Linked DNA regions of Sus scrofa. The protein of the gene in region 2 interacts with the protein of the main gene of each other region in a pairwise test. Links are inferred from orthologs where the notes say so. Each region holds a gene or a part of one and is shown on either strand. Other genes may lie near its edges.

What was found.
Region 1: the proteins of UBE2I (region 2) and RNF111 interact in binary tests that used the Homo sapiens proteins (3 or more experiments, as listed by UniProt). The link is inferred for Sus scrofa from reciprocal best matches to the Homo sapiens genes UBE2I and RNF111.
Region 3: the proteins of UBE2I (region 2) and CLK2 interact in a two-hybrid assay, tested with the Homo sapiens proteins (2 studies listed by BioGRID). The two-hybrid records come from large-scale screens. The link is inferred for Sus scrofa from reciprocal best matches to the Homo sapiens genes UBE2I and CLK2.

What each region holds. Positions count from the first base shown.
Region 1 is NC_010443.5:112,960,966-112,963,283, forward strand, and holds the end of RNF111 (E3 ubiquitin-protein ligase Arkadia), read right to left. Parts: intron 2,148-2,318; coding exon 2,030-2,147; 3' UTR 501-2,029; downstream 1-500. UniProt on the Homo sapiens protein: E3 ubiquitin-protein ligase. Required for mesoderm patterning during embryonic development. Acts as an enhancer of the transcriptional responses of the SMAD2/SMAD3 effectors, which are activated downstream of BMP.
Region 2 is NC_010445.4:40,566,142-40,570,295, forward strand, and holds the start of UBE2I (SUMO-conjugating enzyme UBC9), read right to left. Parts: upstream 2,801-4,154; 5' UTR 2,681-2,800; intron 1-2,680. UniProt on the Homo sapiens protein: Accepts the ubiquitin-like proteins SUMO1, SUMO2, SUMO3, SUMO4 and SUMO1P1/SUMO5 from the UBLE1A-UBLE1B E1 complex and catalyzes their covalent attachment to other proteins with the help of an E3 ligase such as RANBP2, CBX4 and ZNF451.
Region 3 is NC_010446.5:94,564,785-94,568,284, forward strand, and holds part of CLK2 (dual specificity protein kinase CLK2), read left to right. Parts: intron 1-203; coding exon 204-291; intron 292-645; coding exon 646-712; intron 713-887; coding exon 888-1,004; intron 1,005-1,829; coding exon 1,830-1,996; intron 1,997-2,767; coding exon 2,768-2,862; intron 2,863-3,383; coding exon 3,384-3,500. UniProt on the Homo sapiens protein: Dual specificity kinase acting on both serine/threonine and tyrosine-containing substrates. Phosphorylates serine- and arginine-rich (SR) proteins of the spliceosomal complex.

The DNA of each region.
Region 1 (2,318 bases), on a different chromosome or scaffold from region 2:
AAAAACAGAGGAATCTATCTATATTTGTGTTTAGGGGAGCATCAAGAGGACTCTATTATATTGAATTCTCCCCATCTTATCCCTTGGCACAGACCCTGTGTTTTATAGTGGTGAAGCCCTACATCTGTCACATGCTATTGGTACTAGCTCTTGTCCCCAGTAAGATGGCATACAAAGTTTCTCTCCTTTTCTCTCATTCTGTCTCATCCCCTTCCCACCAACTACAGCTTAATCATCAAATGTTCTTTTTAAAAATGTTATTTCATATCCAAATTTCTTAACCATAGTCCATCTTCCATCTCTCCACATATTATGTTCAAGCACCTGATACTGACAATTACTACAGAGTAACTATTTACTAATATTAATAAAAGACAAGAAGCCATAACTGAGTAACAACCATCAAATTATGTAAATGTCAACTTGAATGAGATCATTATTTTTGAATTCCAAATGTTTAATATAAATGGTTTTATAAAAACAAACTATGAAAACACAAAGACAATAGAAATATAAGTTATTTATTAATCAATCCACTTACAAAGCAGGTGGCTTAATGCAAGCTTATTGACATCTTCACATATGATTCATGGGAACATGTCTTCCACATACAGACAGTGATGTTACTGACTGATGCATTTGCAATCTGGGGCATATTAAGCATATTTAGACAAATAAAATTAGGCTATCCTGTATATGAAAGTATCTTGATATATGCATCCTGAAGTGGATTAAAACTTTCTCCAAAGGAGAAATGTTAGTACATTAACTTAACTTTAATATTCTATATTATGCAGTAAATCTTAACTATAGAAATTAAAAATTTTAAATCAGTGATCGACTCTTGGTAATGTACGAAGTGGGAATCTAAAACCAGAGCAACAGTAGGTTGACAGCATAATTTGTGCCTCACAGTATCTGCAGATTTACTGTTTTCAAGTTTGAAGAGAAATAAAACAAGAGACATGTAGATTCAGCTGACTTTATTTATCTTTAAACTAATAAAAATCCCTTTAAAAGTGATCCTGGGACCTTTAGAAGTTCTATGAATGCATAGATACCTGCCAGTGACTGCAATTCTAAATCCTGACTAAATGTGTTTACAAAACTCAACACAAGCAGATATCTTTACTATACGTGCTTAGCAGAAGACTGAAAAATTCTACATGTCTTCTTCGATTTCCCTAAAATTTTGTTAAATCTGCAAGTATATACAATCCAGCTAATTGAAATTAATATTTAGTGTTCATCAGAGCTGTTTCACAGCAGCAAAAATTGAATCTGGGAAATAAAAGTTCTAAACAATGTAGGAAACGATAAATACAATCAGAACAGCAGTCTAAATGTATGATATCAATATTCAACTCTATCTGCATTGTGCTGAAAGGAAAAGGATACACCAAGAAAATTTCTATTGATCACTCTGGTGATGTGAATACCACCTGCATCTGATTGAAAATGGTTTATACTCTGTTCCCAGTATCAAGGATGGTATTTAACTCAGAACTCCATATTGTAAATATACAGCAGCCATTGTGTCCTAATTAAGGAATGTCTTAATACAATATTATCATTTTCTAGAGGATTTTTATACATTAAACTAAAGTACATGATTGATTAAATTAAACGTTAGTAATGGATAAAAAAATTCATAATTCTCAAGACCTGGTACTATGTAAAAAACAAAAAGACCACAAAATTCTACTTACTAAAGCAGCTAATCTTGCCTGCAAGTTTAGGGTCACAAGCCCATAATATGTGCAAAGAAATGCAATACAAGGAACCATGCAAAAATACAGTAAAATGATACAGGAAAAATGTCAAATCTAGAAAAAAAGGCTTTTATAAATACATCAAAATCAACTGTATACATAAACTGTACGTCTAGCATTAGTTGTACCATATAGCAGAGCCAGCACTCTAAGTTCAAGGCTTCCAAATCTGCGCAGGTAAGTCATGCCATCTTTGGTTGACTGCAGTACCAGGAGGGTGGGAATGAGAGGGAGGGCAAGAGTTCTGAAACATGGTGTCAACTCTCACTTGGCAGCTGGGCCTCAATGTCCACTCTGCATATGGGGCACTTCTTATTGGTAATCAACCACTGGTCAACACACACTTGGTGGAAAAGGTGCATACAGGGAAGGCGTCTATTATAAGCAAACAAAACAAAAAGCAAAAATTAATCTTATGACAAACACTCATGATATTTATTTTTAAACAAATGATATATGCAGTAAGTCAGTAATGTTTTCAAGTTACTAGACAGCATTCTTTTCTATTAAAAAATCCCAGGAGTTCCCGTCATGGCGCAGTGGTTA
Region 2 (4,154 bases):
GTTTGTTACCACTGAGCCACAATGGGAACTCCCCGCCTGGGATCTGTCTGTTCACACAACACAAACTGAGGAGAGACAGAGTTGTGGCTGTGCAGAAGGCCCACGCAGGAGGAAGACGTGTGCTGGGAAGTGCTAGGTGCCAGGACACAGGAAGCAGGACGATGGCAGGGAGGCACCCGGTCCTACAGGGTCAGGTGCCCGCGTGGGCACAAGCTGCAGCAATGCAAGGGACTGTTCCAGGCGGGCTCACCAGGAACAGAAAGAAGAGCCAGGAGGGTCACTGGCTGCGAGGGCCAGGGACCGCCCAAGGGAGGCGGGGGCAGTGACCCCGAGTCTGAAAAGCTTTCCTTCCCTTGACTGCCTCCAACCCTTCACTTTTTTTGGTCTTTTTTTAGAGCTGCACCTGTGGCATATGGAGGTTCCCAAGCTAGGGGTTAAATTGGAGCTGTAGCCGCTGGCCGACACCACAGCTCAGCAACGCCAGCTCCTTAACCCACTGAGCCGGGCCGGGGACCGAACCTGCATCCTCCGGGATACTAGTCGGGTTTGTTAACCTCTGAGCCGGGACGGGAACTCCCCAACCCTTCACTTCTAAACAGAACCCTGCCCCACCCACTCCAGCAGCTAGTGGGGCTGCCCCTCCCGCAGGGCTTGAGGAATCTGGAGGGTCTCTGCAGCCCCTGGGCAGCCAGGGCAAAGGCGGCAGCAGGCGGACACGTCTGAATTAACGGAGGCAGGAGTCCAGCAAGCGGCTGCTCCCCGTGAGTCTGCACCTGGCCAGGCGCTGACCATGGGTCATGAAGGCCCAGGGCACCACTGTGGACACTGAGGAGCCATGGATACTAAATGGGCAACTGAGGCTGCTCGGGGAGGAGGGCAGGGGTCACGGCTTGTCCAGGATGCAGACCAGGCCAGGGGGGCCATCCTGAGTGCTGCCTGCCTGCTGACCGTGCGCCAGCACCCGGCCACAGGCCACCTCTTCTGCTGACAAGGGACAAAGTTGCCTCTGCAGGCTGTCCCAGAGCCCAGCTGTGGCTGCGCCAAAGGTAATGGGGGGGGTCCCACAGGAACTCCTGCCTCCCCTTCCTCAGGGGTGCCAGGGGACCAGACCAGGCAACAAAAGGGTGAAGAGCCACAGGCCCAGGCAGAGAGGCCTGGCCTTCCCTTATCCGGGAGAAAGCACCCAATTTGTTACATTTTAATGACAAGGGGAGCTACTCCTTCAGAATCCCACTTAAAATTAAATCTGCCTTCCCCAACCAAGAGTCACCCGAAGCAGCTGAATGTTAGCAGACACTCCAGAGATGGACATTGTTAGGATGCAAGGATGAAATACCCACGAACCGCTAGCCTGCAGGACAGCAGCTGGGATGTCCAGGCAGATTCTGGAAGTCTCCACGCCACCTTCCTCCAGAGTGAGCTGTGCCTGAATCCCCTCTTCTTAGATCACACGCTGCGATTTGACAGCAAAGCCTGCAGAGCCACTAACTGGCTGCACATGCGGGCGAGATGCTTCTCTCTCCCAGCCTCAGCCTTCTCAGCTGTGCGATAAGCCACAGCACTGTGAACTCACGGGTTGGCCCAGGGTGAAAGTGAGCAAGGATCAGCAGCCCAGGATGGGCCCTTCCCACCCAAACATCAGCTTCCCAGGGGGAAGGCATTTGCTTCACCTGATGCAGGCACCCTGCACTCGGGAGACTCTCCAGCCCAGGTGCACGCCCTGTTCTTGCCCGTTTCTGCAGCCAGGCCCCAAATCCCGAGCAAGACTATCGCAACAAGATGCAGAGTTCACCCCCTAAACCACCCGGCGGGCCATGAGCAAGTCAGGGAAAACTTGGGATCCACTCCCCTCTTCTGGTGGGAAGACTTCCAACCCAAAAAGTTTTCCTTAGTAGCAAGAAACGTTTGAGGTTAGGGGTCTGGAAAGGGCACCAACTCTGCAAACACAGAACAACAACTTTGCAACCCGAGGAACTAAGCTTGTTTTCAAACCACACAAACCAAACCAGTGAATTCTGTGATTGAGAGGCAGGTGCAGGCCGTTACCGCGAGCCCAGCTAATCATTCTCTGGCCTTCCTGCTCCTGGCTCAACTACCACTTCCAGCCTCCGTGCACTTGGTACAAAGCAGTCCCAGGAGGAAAATTCCCCGTCAAAGGAAGCGCGGGTGCCCAGGGTCCCACCAACTGCGGCCGAGGCTCCGGAGGCGCAAGAACTCGGACTTGTTTTGATTTACAGACACCACACACCACCCCCAAACGGGCCGGCGCTGCCGCAGCGCGAGGCTTTGCGCTCTTTGTGCGATGCGTCGTCTCCAGGGCTGGCACACGCCACAGGTTCGCGCGCAGACCGTGACCCCGGAAACGCTCCGCCTCGGCGGAGGGCTCGGCGCCCGCTCGCGCTCCTGTCAGCGCAGCCCGAGCGGCGGGCGCCGTCTGCGGCCCGGCCGCGATGCGACCCGCCCCGAGCGCGCGCCCGAGTGGACGCCCCCGCCGTCTGGGGCCGCGGAGCCCAGCGGGCCGGCCCACGCCGCGGCGTCAACACACCGGGGCAGGCCGGTTCCCGGGAGCGGGCCCGGCCGGGCCGCGGGTGGAGGGAGCCCGCCTGGCCGGGCCCGACGGCGGCGGAGGCCCCAGCCCGACAAGGCCCGGTCCCCGGCCCGCCCGTCTCGCCGCGCTCACCTCGGGCGGCCGCGGCCCGGCGAGTGAGGCGGACGAGGCGGCGGCGGCGGCGGCGGCGGCGGCGCTCCTTTGTCTCGGGACTTCCCTCCCGAGCCCGCTCCGCGCGCAGCCCGAGCGCTCGAGGACCCCGGCGCGGGCGGGGCGGGGCGGGGCCTGCGGAGTCTGCCCGCCGCGCGCCTGCCCCGCGCCCCGCCGCTGCCGCCGCACGCCCCGCGCCGTCCACGTCGCTGTGCGCCGCCCGCCGCCCGTGCCCCGCCGCCGGGCGCCCGCGCCCCGGGCCAGGCCTGGGAGCCCAGCCCCGGGGGCGGCTTTCCAGTCAGGCGGCGCCCTGGACACCTGTGCCCTTAAAGGAGCCGCGTCCCTTATGTGAGGGAGCGTCTGCAAACTCCCCTTCGCGGGGCCCGCGTCTATCCGAGGACACGCCGGCGTGCGGCGGGGCAACCAGGAGGCCGAGATCTCCAAGGGCCCCCCGGATGCCCCGCGGGCACCTCCCCGGGCACGGGTCCTGGAGGTCTCCTTGGGGCTAGGGCCCGGGGCCGGGGAGCAAAGATCATTGAGGCCTAGGGATCCCCGAAGCGTCGCAGCACGGTGACAACCCCTCGCGCGCGGCAGGCCGTGAAACTCCTTGCAATTGGCCAGTTCGGGGCTCAGGGCGGGGCGTCTGCCGAATCTGCCCAATGAGCTGACCCCGTACAAAAGGTAGCGTGGCTGCCCGACCGATGGGAGGAGAAGAGCGGACGCTCCCTAACCCAGGGCTGGCCCTGGGGGAATGAAAGGGAAAACCTGACATTACTAATGGAAAACCTCTCCAACTGCAAGTTCTGCTTCTGTAAGCCCCGCTTGCTCAGCGCCCCCCCATGATCATGTGACCACTAACAGACCCACACCTAAAGCTGGAACATTCCCTGCCGCCGGCTCCTCCAGTTCCCACTCCGGTCCACCCCTCCAAGCGTGGACCCAGAAGAACTGGCCTGTAAAAGCCTGTAGCACCCCTGTTCGGGGCCTGGGTTCTGGAGAGCAATCTTCCCCAGGCCGGCCGGGTATGAGAGCTAAATTCTCCTCCTCTCCCAGTGTCGCTTGGTTTCTCGCTGGTCGGTGCTGCACGTGGAGCTGTAACATTTCTGGAGGCCCCAGCGAGACCCCAACCGTTCTGGCCCTTTGAGCCACCGGGGCTGCGGTGAAGCTGCAGGAAGGCTGGGGAGCTCCGGAGGCGAACGAGGCGGTGCTCCACCCGACGGTATTTCGGGTCCTCCTTCGTGGCGGTGCTCCAGTCCTCCCAATGGCCGAACCCCAACCGGACTCGGTGGAGAGACGGACCAACTCCCAAGCAAGACTAGTTAAAGCTCCGGAATAAGGTAAGGCCCCGAGGCCAGTCCCCGTCAGGTCCTGCCTACTGGCAGAAGAGGAGACCTACGTCTTCCAGTCTGACGACCCCAGGAAGGGACCTCCCAAGGGGGAGGTCTGTGACGGCTGA
Region 3 (3,500 bases), on a different chromosome or scaffold from region 2:
GGACTTGGGATTATGCGCCGCTCTCTCTTCTCACCCCGATCCGCCTTACTGCATCTGACGTGTTCCCTTCCACTGTCCCCCATCATCGTCTGTCCCCCCTGGCTGGGCGCCTGTGACCGGTGACCCCTCCACCACCCACCCCGCCTCCCTCCGGCCCCCGCTCCGACACCTGGCTTGCTCCGACCCCCCCCGCCCCCCGACAGCAGCACAGCAGCCGGAGAGCCAAGAGTGTAGAGGACGACGCTGAGGGCCACCTCATCTACCACGTCGGGGACTGGCTACAAGAGCGATGTACAAGCCAAATCGTAACAATCCTATAGCCTGTAATGGTCCCATAGCCATCCTAACGTCCCGAGCCAACCCAAGTCACAGCCTCTTTTGCCTTTTCTCAGTGGTGTTGTTTATCTGGGTGGTTTGAGTTGCTGTTGAGAATTGACCTCTGCTGTCCACTCCCAGCTCTCATGGCCCCTGGGTTAAAGGTGGTGGGAATCATGCAGGGGTTTTCTTCCCCTGTGACCATCTGTATCTGTTCCCCCTTCCTTCATCTCCTCACCCCAGGTTGCTGTACCCTTTTTTTCTTCCAACTCAGCTCATTCCCCACCTTCTCTCCCTCCCTCTCCCCGACCCTGCTCTTTTTCATTTCAGATGAAATCATAAGCACCTTGGGAGAGGGGACCTTCGGCCGAGTTGTGCAGTGTGTCGACCATCGCAGGTAATTGGCAGCCCCCCTCTGTACTCCACGCCTGCCAGCTGTAAAGAGGTAGTAAAAGTTATTTGGGGCTTTTTTGCTGACTAGCCAAAAGTAGGATTTCTTAATCCCTGGGTAGCCCTGTTCAATCTGAGATTTTCTTGAGATTCCAACAAAATTTTGTCTTGCCACCCTACAGGGGTGGGGCCCGAGTTGCCCTGAAGATCATTAAAAATGTGGAAAAGTACAAGGAAGCAGCTCGACTTGAGATCAATGTGCTGGAGAAAATCAACGAGAAGGATCCTGACAACAAGAAGTAAGCAAGCAAGCGAAGAAGTGTGTGGGGAGTCTGAGAGGCTCCACCCTGCCCCAGGAAAACCTTCCTGACCTGGGTTAGCCAGGCAGGGAGTTCTAGATCTTCTCATCCATTCATCTTTTGTTCGTCATCTTAGAGTAGTAGATAGAACACTAGGGCAGGAAGGGAGGGTCTGTGATATTCTCAAATCCACTCCCCTTGTTTTCGGGCCGATAGATTGCTCTGCAGTTTGCCTTTGACCCAGGATGGCCTCTTAGGGATGTACCCTGGAAATGGCCCTGAGTCTGAGAGTCAACATTTTCAAAAAAATTAGTTGAACTTTTAATACCCAGAACTATGCTGATGACATTTATGTATAATTTTTCTGTTCACACACATTCCAGAATCTAACTATAGAATAAGAGTATTAAGCAAAGACATAAGACGATAGTTATAAACGTGGGTCCAGTGATGGCTGGTGGTGAGTGAATTTCAGGAGTGGGATCTGGGGTCCGGATGTAGGAGTGGCTGTTTGACCATTCAGAGTCCACACTGGAGCCTGGCACTCAGCAGCTCCTCAGCAAATAGAGTGGGTTTTTTTTTTCTTTTTTTCAACTATTTAAAATGTTTCAGGAAACTGATGTGAGGCTTGGCGGGTAGTACTTCTCTTCTTGGTTCTGCCAGAAAGGCCATTCTCTAGCCAAACTGAATTTTCTTGGTGATAAGAGCTGGCATGGTTTTACACAAATATGTGGAATCGACAGCTATGCAGTCCCTCTTCGTTGGAGGGGTGGTGGGCAGATGGGAGCTCATCAGACATCCCCCTTCCTCCATCTCTCTTCCCAGCCTCTGTGTCCAGATGTTTGACTGGTTTGACTACCATGGCCACATGTGTATCTCCTTTGAGCTTCTGGGCCTTAGCACCTTCGATTTCCTCAAAGACAACAACTACCTGCCCTACCCCATCCACCAAGTGCGCCACATGGCCTTCCAGCTGTGCCAGGCCGTCAAGTGTGAGTGGGGCGGGCCGAGGTGGACTCTGGGGCAGCCCCTCCCTCCATTGGACCTCTTCTGTCTCAGTTTTGTGCACTAGTGAAGCCCCTCAAACAGTCATCTCGATGATGTGCCATTCTTTTATCCACTGTCCTGTTGACATCTCTTCTTCTTCAGACTTATCTCCTTCATCCGTGTCTTCACCATCACCGATTGCTCTTACTCCACATTCAGCCTAGCAGGAGCTGGAAGAGAAAGCATTTCAAACTAAAGCACTTAATTACCTCTTTTTCATTCCCCTTCCTTGGGAAGGTGTAAGTCAAGCAGGAAGCACAAAGAGACAAAAAGATTCCTCGAACTAGAGGTTTACATTTGTTTGAGCTGAGATACTCTCTGTTCCCAGCAACGCAGGCGGGAGTGGGGCGTAATGCAGCCAAGGGGCCAGGAACAGAATTTAGACTGCTCATACTTCTTCCTCTTATATCTTCACAACAGTACTGTTTTCTAGAGCTGAAGTCACAGAAGTCAGACAGATGTCAAAGTCAGTACAACAAAAAAAACCCATAGCACACCATCTATACATTGGTTGAGAAATACACATGTATTGTCCATTAATGAGTGTAGGGCTTCTTAGACCAGGCATTTCATTTGGATGTAGAGCAGTAAACAGCCTGGTAATTCTGGATCTGCCTCCTCACCAGCCTTGAGCTAGGTGACCAAGCCGGGGGTCAGCCGGTGCCAGTTAGCCCTGGCCACATGGACCAACCCTGACCTGGCCTTCTCCTCTGCAGTCCTCCATGATAACAAGCTGACACATACGGACCTCAAGCCTGAAAACATTCTGTTTGTGAATTCAGACTACGAGCTCACCTACAACCTAGAGAAGGTAAGGCAGACAGGGTGTGCCCCTTAGCCAGGGAGGGTGCAGGTGGCCGTGCCACTTTGCCCTTCTCTTCGCCCTTTCTGTCCTCCCACATTTTTAAGTTTCTTGGTTTGGGCTTCCTTCTTTTTTCTGTAAGGGAAGCTCAGCTCTGCTCCCTTGACTTAAGTGGAGATCATGGAGATCTCAGCTGAGGCAGCTCTTCCTCACTTGGCTACCTCCTGTGCATTTTCAGGAACACTACCCACCAGTCGCTTGGGCATACTCTTCAGATGCACAGACTTGCATGCTATTCCATAGTTAGCCCTTGATCCTGTTCCTGCCCCACTCCTAAAGTACTTTGCGGGATGTGGGGGAGGCTGTAAAGGAGGAGACGTTTCAGCATGTGTGGGGAGCAGGCAGGAGGTCAGAATTGCTTTGTTTTAAGGCTCAGAAGCACTTTAGAGAATAGTGCTAGAATCTCAGTCTGTTCATTCTTTCCGTCTCACTGCAGACGGAGGTTCATTCTCCTCCTGCTTTATTCCTAGAAGCGAGATGAGCGAAGCGTGAAGAGCACAGCTGTGCGGGTGGTAGACTTTGGCAGTGCCACCTTTGACCATGAACACCATAGCACCATCGTCTCTACCCGCCACTACCGAGCACCA